2 linked regions of the Oryzias latipes genome follow. The protein of the gene in region 1 purifies or fractionates together with the protein of each later gene. This does not show direct contact. Links are inferred from orthologs where the notes say so. Each region holds a gene or a part of one and is shown in the gene's direction. Other genes may lie near its edges.

Region 1 (4,595 bases):
GGTCTTATAGAACATTAAAGACTAAATCTTAGAACTCATCAGTGGGATTACTCCAAAAATATTTGGCATTTCCCTAAATTTGTGCAACACCAACAGCAGAAATCCTCCAAAAAAACTCAATCCTAAAAAAATGGTCTGATCTAATCCCCCCTCCCCCTCCCCTTCCCTCTGACACACGCGGCTCCGTCTCCATGACGACAGCGCGCAGCTGCGGCTCAGAGTTGATTGTCAGATAGAAAAAGACCCCCAATCACCTGTTAGTGTGATTCAGCCAGCCACCGGCGAGCTGCGCTCCCCTCTCGAGTTTTTTGACTTATGTTCCAAAGACTACAAAGAGGTGTGGCCGCAATCGTCTTGCAGCAGAGGGCGGTGGTCACGTGCGCATCGGGTCTGCTGTGTCGGAGCAAAGAATTGTGGGAAATAATCTCCATTGCCTGCTTTTTTCGAAATTGGGTTGAGCACGGATGTTTGTTCTGCCTAATTCATTTTCATGTGCCGGTTTTACGTTGTTTCACTCTGAGGTATTCTTTTTTTTTTTTTTTTTTTTTTTTTTTTTGCACCATAAGTGTGAAGAGCAAATAGGAGGAAGACATTCTTTAGAGTCTGATGTGTCTAAATAAAAGCATTAAGTGTCGGCTGCTCAAGCAATTTCAAATTAAAAGCTCCAAGCTTCCTCTTTGAATTTAGTATGTAGCATATTATGTGTAACGCCTCAGGAACGGCAAATGCCGCCCCCTATGAAGTGCCGCCCTGGGCGACCGCCCACATCGACCATATCAAAAACCGCCACTGCACTGCAGTAAGATAAACAGTTTAAGTCCCACTCCAATAATCATTCGATCTATTTTCAGTGTTTCCAGTACCGGTAGTCTTTTAATTATAACTATGCCGCTTTTAGGCTAAATCAAAAAACCTTTGTCGTTTTCAGGGACATACATAGTTTCTGCAGCGTGGCAGTAGTTCATTAGAAATTCATCTCTGAGTTGTGGGCGGGACTGTTGGCGAGGACTAAGCCAATCCCTGCTTCCTATCATCAGTTTACAGCCCCTCACAGCCCCCAACCTAAAATTATGCAACAAAAATGGCTAGCAATATTGGAGCTATGCAGCCATACCGTTTTGATCCAGATGTCAGCTCTGGCAAAGAAAACAAAGATGTACAAGGATCTAGTCATCTACAAGCCAATCCATCATAATGGAAAATGCTGCTGGTTGTAGTAGCTTGTAGTAGCTTCTACGTCAGATCTGCAGGATATTTCAAATGGCATTTTTGCACATGCTACTGATTCACAACGATTTGAATAAAGAAATACTCAGAAATGCAATTTTAATCTTATTTTTTTTATGTGTCCTGCATCATCAGAAAAATGTCACAAGAATTAAAAAATACACCAAAAATCATTTATTTGAATTAAGCCGTCAATTCTATTCTATTCTATTCTATTCTATTCTATTCTATTCTATTCTACTGAAAACCAATTATTTTTAATTTGTACTAAAAGATACAGTTATCAGTCTGTCTTTAGTTGGTTGTTTTGTAGTTTTGAGTTGGCTCAGCCGTTCGCGCTTCGTCTTGTTTGACCCTGGCGATGTCTCTTACTGTACGTCACAGTCACATGATTGTCAGGAGGAATTTAAGGAAACAAACGTCAACAACAAAAAATACAATTTTTGGGCCATAGAACTTTACATTTTCTGATTTTTTTACGGTTTTCTAAAGATGGAGTCAACCCTCGAACAACACCTTGACGATACGTGAGTTCTAATCTATGCTAACTAGCTTGTTTCTTTACATTTCGTACATTCGTTTGGCTAATTCTCTTGATTTCGTGTTTTTTCTGCAGCATGAAAAATCCAGCTGTTGTTGGGGTTCTATGCACGGACCAACAAGGACACAACTTGGGCTGTAAGACTCTTCAGAGTTAACAGGAAGTCACATCACATGTATTTATTCACGAAGTACCCCGTAGTCGATATTCTCTAGTTCGTCAGTTTCGCTAATAAATAAATTCCCGCAACAGTTTAGTTTCCCCAAAAACACAAGTTTCCACCGCCAGCTGTTTATGAGAGATCATGTTGTTATTTCTGATGTTTTAGTCTTTAATCTCATTAGAGAAATGTTGCCAGTGAGTGAGAGAGGCAAAGATGTAACTCAGAAAGAAGACCCATAGTGTTTAGGTCAGTGCAGATCATGTGTAGACATCTGTCTCCTAAAGACATCCTTTGCTTACATAACGGGATGTGTTACTTTTTCCAAAGAGGCCCATATTTGCAGTGAATCTTAGAACTATTTGAAACACATTAAATTAAATATACTGCAATGGGATACTTTTCATGACATTTCATGATTACATGACAGTCTTCACATAGAAAACAGACATCTAACTACGTTTTTACCAAAATTACTGTCACATTTGTATATTTTTTGCACAGTTCATTCACAGTTAGCTTGTCGTATTAGCATGTCTTATCTGGTAGTTTCTCTTGATATTGAACTCCATGAAAACAGCCACAGTCTTCTGGCCCATTAGGCAGACACAGTTGTTTTATATTTCACTGAAAAAATGTTCAAATTTTCCATTTGTCCTTTAAGAGGTTGACCCTTAAAGAGCTAGAGAGTGTCACAAAAGGGTCGCACAACAGTGTTTCCACAGGTTTATAAAGTCTGATTTAGCCAACCACACAGCTTTTAGATATTGTTGCAGGACGCGTTCTGTTGATTTTATGTAGGAGCCTACGGGCCGGTGAAAATTTGAAAGGGGGCCGGATTTGGCCCACAAGCCGGACTTTGGACATGCCTGGCTCTCATGACTGATCGACTGTTTTCCGTGTTGAAGACCTGAGTCGGAATAATTTAAAAATGGGTCTTCAACTGAATAAGTAACAATTTCCTCTTGAGGCAAACTGATTTGATCTATTATATGATAGTAACAGTTCAGACCAGCAAACATAGCAAAGAATTCTGGCTCACTGTGGTGGTCTGATCTGCTGCTGGTTATTACACCTTTGCTGCCAGATGTTAAAGCTACATGTTAAATTATCACACTGTTGGTGCTCTGACATTGTAAAAACGTGAAATCAGATTTACTTTAAGAAAAAAGTTAAATTCTAAATAAAGACTGCAGTCCAAATGAACTGATCTGATGAGCAGAAGGATGCATCTAAAGCAGGTCATCATTTAAAGTCCCACTCTGATCATCTTTTGATCTATTTCAAAAGCATTCCTAGTCTTTTATTTATGATGAAGCTGTTTTTGACCCAAAAAAAATAGTCATTTTCCAGAACAAAGTTTCTGCAGAGCAGCACTAGTTTTTTTAAAAATTCACCTCTTGAGTTGTGAGCAGGACTGTCGGCGTGAAGTAAGCCCACTTGTCGTCACTCATCTGTTTACTGTTTACATGCTCTCCTGCTAGCTTTCAGCCCTTCAGACCCCAAGCCTAACATTAGCGGTACATCAAAAATAGCGAGCAGTATCAGAGCTATACAGTCCTAGAGTTTTTAACCCGATAACTGCTCGGATGAGAAAAACAAAGACGTCCATGGATCTAGTCTGGATTCTGCTGATTCACAACGATTTGAATAAACAAATCCTGAAAAATGCATTTTTGAATATGTTCTCCATCATCAGAAAAATGCCAAAAGAACATGTTTAAAACACAATTTTCATCAGAGCGGGTCTTTGACATATTTTTTTTTTAGGTCGTGGATCTCTGTCAGATGAACATGGAGGTGTGGTGTCTGTTCTGGCTAAACAAGCAGCTGCTCTCACCAGAGACCTGACGGACACACCGACTGTGTGCCTAGAGTCCGAGTCAGGGTGAGCCATGGACTGTGCCTTTGCACAACTTCTTCTATTTCTTAGTTTTAGTGCATTTAAGGTGTGCCTTTGTAGTTTTAAATGTGGAAGTGTACAAATAAGAGTTCCAAGACGCTGTGCAATCAGCTTCAACTTCTGTGCCACAGAGGTGCAGCAGAGATGAGCATCCTCTATACCTGCTGGTCACGTGGGAGACCATGCCTAATTATTTTTCTGAGTATTGGCTCCTCTATACTATTCATGACTTTTGGAACTTCCGGATGTTGGAATATAATAATTTCCCCACCTCCTCAATACTGTACATTTAAGTCATTTAATGGATGATTTAATTCAAAGTGGCTTAACAGTGAGATACAAAACAAACCATATTATCCAGGATTAAGTGGTTGTGAGGGTTAGACTCATGGATAATCATATAGGCAGACCTGGATTTGAGTATTTATTTTTTTGGACTATGCTGCCACCTTCTGGACTCTTTTAAACTATTGAATGTAGTGGAATTCCCACCTCTGAAATGGACTTTGTCATTTGGAATTAGAAATTTACCAAAAACACAAGTAAATAGAATTCAATCCTGTTGTCTAAGTAGCACAACACCAAAAAAAAAAAACTTCTAATGAAGCTGAACAACAAACAAACAAACAAACAAAAACAACAACTATATAGTTATGAAATTACCAACTCAATTTATACTCAAATAAAAAAAAAATGAATATAGTGTCTAAAATCTCTTTTTTCTATCTAAGCCAAAGGAAAAATGTTTACATTTTTATATGTGA
Region 2 (3,818 bases), on another chromosome or scaffold:
CAAAATATGTGGCGTTTCTTGGCCAAAAAGGTTCCCGACCCCTGGTTTAGAGTATCTCAGATCTGCGTAGCAGCACTTCCGTTCGGCGATCCGGCTGCCGGTCCGAAGACAAAGCTAGTCCTGGGGAAAGTTTCGACGGAACGCGGTGCGTCTGAAGGCAGAAATGCTGCGACGTAGTCCTGAGAAGCTGTGTAAATTCATCAGGAGTTCACAACCGTCACAGCTCCTCTGCCGCTAACACAAAGCTACAAGCCTGGCCGCACTGCTCCTCGCATAAGTCTCTTAGCAGCCGGACACACGGTTATAGCACTGACGTCATCGCCCCGCCTCCCCTCCGGAAATGCTAAGTCGACTGAATTATGCAACACTATTCGCAGGGTGGATGTGAAAATGAAAATGCGATCCCCTCTTTGCATTTTCGCTTTAATTATGACACAGAATAAGCGGTTTTTAAGTAGAAAATGAAAAAGCATTTTGAAGTATTGACTTTTATTTTTAATTATGCTACAGAATCGCTTCCATGTGTGTCAGAGTATTAAAACAAGATGACATTTTTTCTGGTCGTTGTTTCTTATGCTGATGTCAGGATGCTGTCAGATCACAGAGACAGAAAATCATGATGACTTTACAGCTTTCAAAGGCTCATCAATATCAGTTTGGCTCCAACTGACCCCCCACCCCCTCTGCTGATGTTTTTCCCAGAGCCCCCCAAACCATGTGGTCCCACAGCCTGAGGAGATCTACATCTACAGTCCTCTTGGTATCGCTTTCAAGATCCCAGAAGGAGATCAGACTTCCAAGAACTCCAGCCTCATATCCATGTGAGCCCCCCCCCCTCCCCCCCCCGCCCCCCCCCCCCTCCCCCCCCCCCCCCCCGCCCCCCCAAGCGCCATATTCCTCCTCCCACAGCTCTGATGTTCCTTCTGGTTTTGCAGCTTCGCCATCTGGAACACGATGATGGGGACGTCCATTCTCAGCATACCGTGGGGCATCAAACAGGTGACGTCTTTTAGTTCCACCCCATGGAGCGGCTTTTGCCGTCTGAGCGCGCTCAGCAGCTGGAAACCTGTTTCTGTTCTGCACGCCTGAAGGCTTCCTGTCTGTCTGAACTCTGCTTGCAGGCTGGCTTCACGCTGGGAGTCGTCATCCTGGTGCTCACAGGGCTGCTCACTCTGTACTGCTGCTACATCGTCCTCAAGTCGCCAAGGACCATCAGTGAGTCAGGCCCCCCCCCCCCGTCAGCATTCAGGCCAGACTGTGATCAGATGCTAGATGTTTGATTTTATTTGTTTGGTTCAGAAATAGTCCAAAGTACAAACAAAGAAACTCCAACCTTTCTCTGTTTTCACCACGAGTCGAACGCCAAAACGGAGAAATCCTAAAACCCAGAAAAAAAAGTTAATTTTCTAAAAGAAACCAAATTTAAAGCCTCTTTTTCCAAGTGAATCTGTTTATTTAAACCCACAGATCAGTTCTACTTGGAGTTCTGTTCATTTTGGAAAATATTCCTTTGGTGGAAGCCTAATGGATCCAGTAAAACATTTGAGGGGGGGTTTGTCCTCATAAAGTTTAGCCCGTATGTCGGTGCCAAACGCTTCATCACCAAATTCAACACCTAATTCTGAAATTCTGATAAACATTGTCATTGAAAAAATAAACAAAAACAGGTTTGACATTTTTGTTTAATGGATCCAGCACTGATTTGATGACGATACCAACCAAAAAAAAAGGCCAGATGGATAGATGGGTGGGATTTAAAGAACATTTTTCAACATCAAAATACCCCCCCGGCCCGCCCCCAATAATATTCTGTACATGGCTCAACAGAGCTGCAACATTTGGCGGTTCTGGTAGTTGAGAATGGAGGGGGGGGGGCTTAAAGAAAGTCCTCAACAGCTGCTGTCTCAGATGAAAATCATGACGGTTCTACAGGATTTGGGCCTGAATGCTCGTCAGAGCAGATGCTGCCTGACAGTCTTAGGATTTTCCTCACCTTTCAGGTCCTTGAATCGGATGTTTTCCACGTGAAATGGCAGACCTTTGTTTTTCAGAAAGCGTGGATACCACAGACTGGGAATTTCCGGACGTGTGTCGGCACTACTTTGGAAAGTTTGGCCAGTGGTCCAGCCTCCTCTTCTCCCTGGTGTCGCTCTTAGGAGCCATGGTGGTTTACTGGGTCCTCATGTCCAACTTCTTGTTCAACACGGGGCAGTTTATCTACAGTGAGTGTCACACACACACACACACACACACACACACACACACACACACACACACACACACACACACACACACACACACACAAATAAACAAAATAATAATATCAAAGTTTCCTGCAGGCGGAGAAAGTTTCTGCCGTTAGAATGGTTCTATGCTGGGATGGTTTTCTAGGTGCTGAAGTTCTTCACATCCTTTCTTGTTGTCATGGTAATTCTGTACCTTGTGGGGGCGGGGTGGGGGCTGGCCTTCCACGTTTACCTTTAGGCCTCATCGTGTTTTTCTGTGGTAGAAAGCAGATTTCCTGTGTCGTCTGCAGATCAGGCTCACAACATCAACGTGTCAGATTCTCAGTTTGGAAACAACGGCTCCGATCAAGGTAAGCGTTCCTTTTGAACGGCTAAATCATCGTTACATGAATCTTACTTAGTGGCATTGACTGTCATTTGTTTTTCTTTGGAATATTTTCTGATAGTTTTGATTATTAGTATGGACTTCCTTTGTTTTAAAAACTCATTTTCTGGTACTTTTCAAAAATAAAACGTCCTTTAGGATCAGATAAGACAAAACAAACATGTTACTTTTTTCTCTCTGCTGCCGTGTCCTTTGGACCGGTACCGGTCCGCTGGCTGACTGCGTCTGCTTGGACTGATGCGGTATCCCGTTGTTTTTGGTTTGCAGTCATCTGTCCGTACCCGGTCATACACCCGGAGGGGGACGACTGCGGCAGCGGCGGCGGCGATGCCGGAAACGACATCTCCTTTGGGCGCTACTGGAGTAAAACCAACACGGTCCCGCTCTACCTCATCGTTCTGCTCCTCCCACTGCTCAGCTTCCGCTCCGCCTCCTTCTTCGCCCGCTTCACCTTCCTGGGTAAGACAGATCCAGATCCATGGGGTTAGCTGGAGCGGGTTTCCCTCAGACTTTATGTGGAGCAGACATGGAGGAAGCGTGGCGTTTATCCGTTCAGACCTGCTTTTTCTGATGCTGAGCGGAGTCTAACGGGTCAGAGGGACGTCGTTTCAGTTGTTTGGTTGGAGGCTAGCCAGGTGACGGCTTCATCACTTCACATCGTCTCTTCCAGGAACCATTTCTGTCGTCTACCTGATTGTTCTGGTCACCATCAAAGCTGTGCGCCTCGGCTTTCACCTGGAGTTCCACTGGTTTGACCCCACCCACTTCTATGTTCCAGGTAAATCCTGTGCAGATGATGGAACGCTCTTTTATGTCTCCTGAACGGAGATCGCGCCTCTCCCTCTGGCGTGGAGGAGACGTTTTTATTTATTTATTTGTTTTATATATTTTATAGACAAAATGTCAGACAAGCAAAACAAGTAGTTCAGGTGCTCTTTTGACCATTACAAGACAGAATGAATAAAGAACAGTAAATATTTAATTGCCAGTGACATTCTATTTAATATGTTTGATCAGGCCGCCCAACCTTTTGGAGCACTGTGGTGGTCCTGAAGCTGATGTGGGGTCTCTCCTCCTCCTGTTTCAGAGTTCAGGGCGCTCTTCCCACAGCTGACCGGCGTCCTCACTCTGGCCTTCTTCATCCACAACTGCATCATCACACTGATGAAGAACAACAAGCATCAGGA

Evidence for each region.
Region 2: the proteins of lamtor5 (region 1) and slc38a9 purify together in Homo sapiens (co-immunoprecipitation; 5 studies listed by BioGRID and IntAct, with this or other methods). This does not show direct contact. The link is inferred for Oryzias latipes from reciprocal best matches to the Homo sapiens genes LAMTOR5 and SLC38A9.

The regions. Positions count from the first base shown.
Region 1 is NC_019865.2:10,897,176-10,901,770, reverse strand, and holds the start of lamtor5 (ragulator complex protein LAMTOR5), read left to right. Parts: upstream 1-1,580; 5' UTR 1,581-1,719; coding exon 1,720-1,754; intron 1,755-1,843; coding exon 1,844-1,905; intron 1,906-3,698; coding exon 3,699-3,816; intron 3,817-4,595. UniProt on the Homo sapiens protein: As part of the Ragulator complex it is involved in amino acid sensing and activation of mTORC1, a signaling complex promoting cell growth in response to growth factors, energy levels, and amino acids.
Region 2 is NC_019870.2:27,098,868-27,102,685, forward strand, and holds part of slc38a9 (sodium-coupled neutral amino acid transporter 9), read left to right. Parts: intron 1-702; coding exon 703-821; intron 822-935; coding exon 936-999; intron 1,000-1,121; coding exon 1,122-1,215; intron 1,216-2,051; coding exon 2,052-2,222; intron 2,223-2,536; coding exon 2,537-2,596; intron 2,597-2,898; coding exon 2,899-3,090; intron 3,091-3,301; coding exon 3,302-3,409; intron 3,410-3,718; coding exon 3,719-3,818.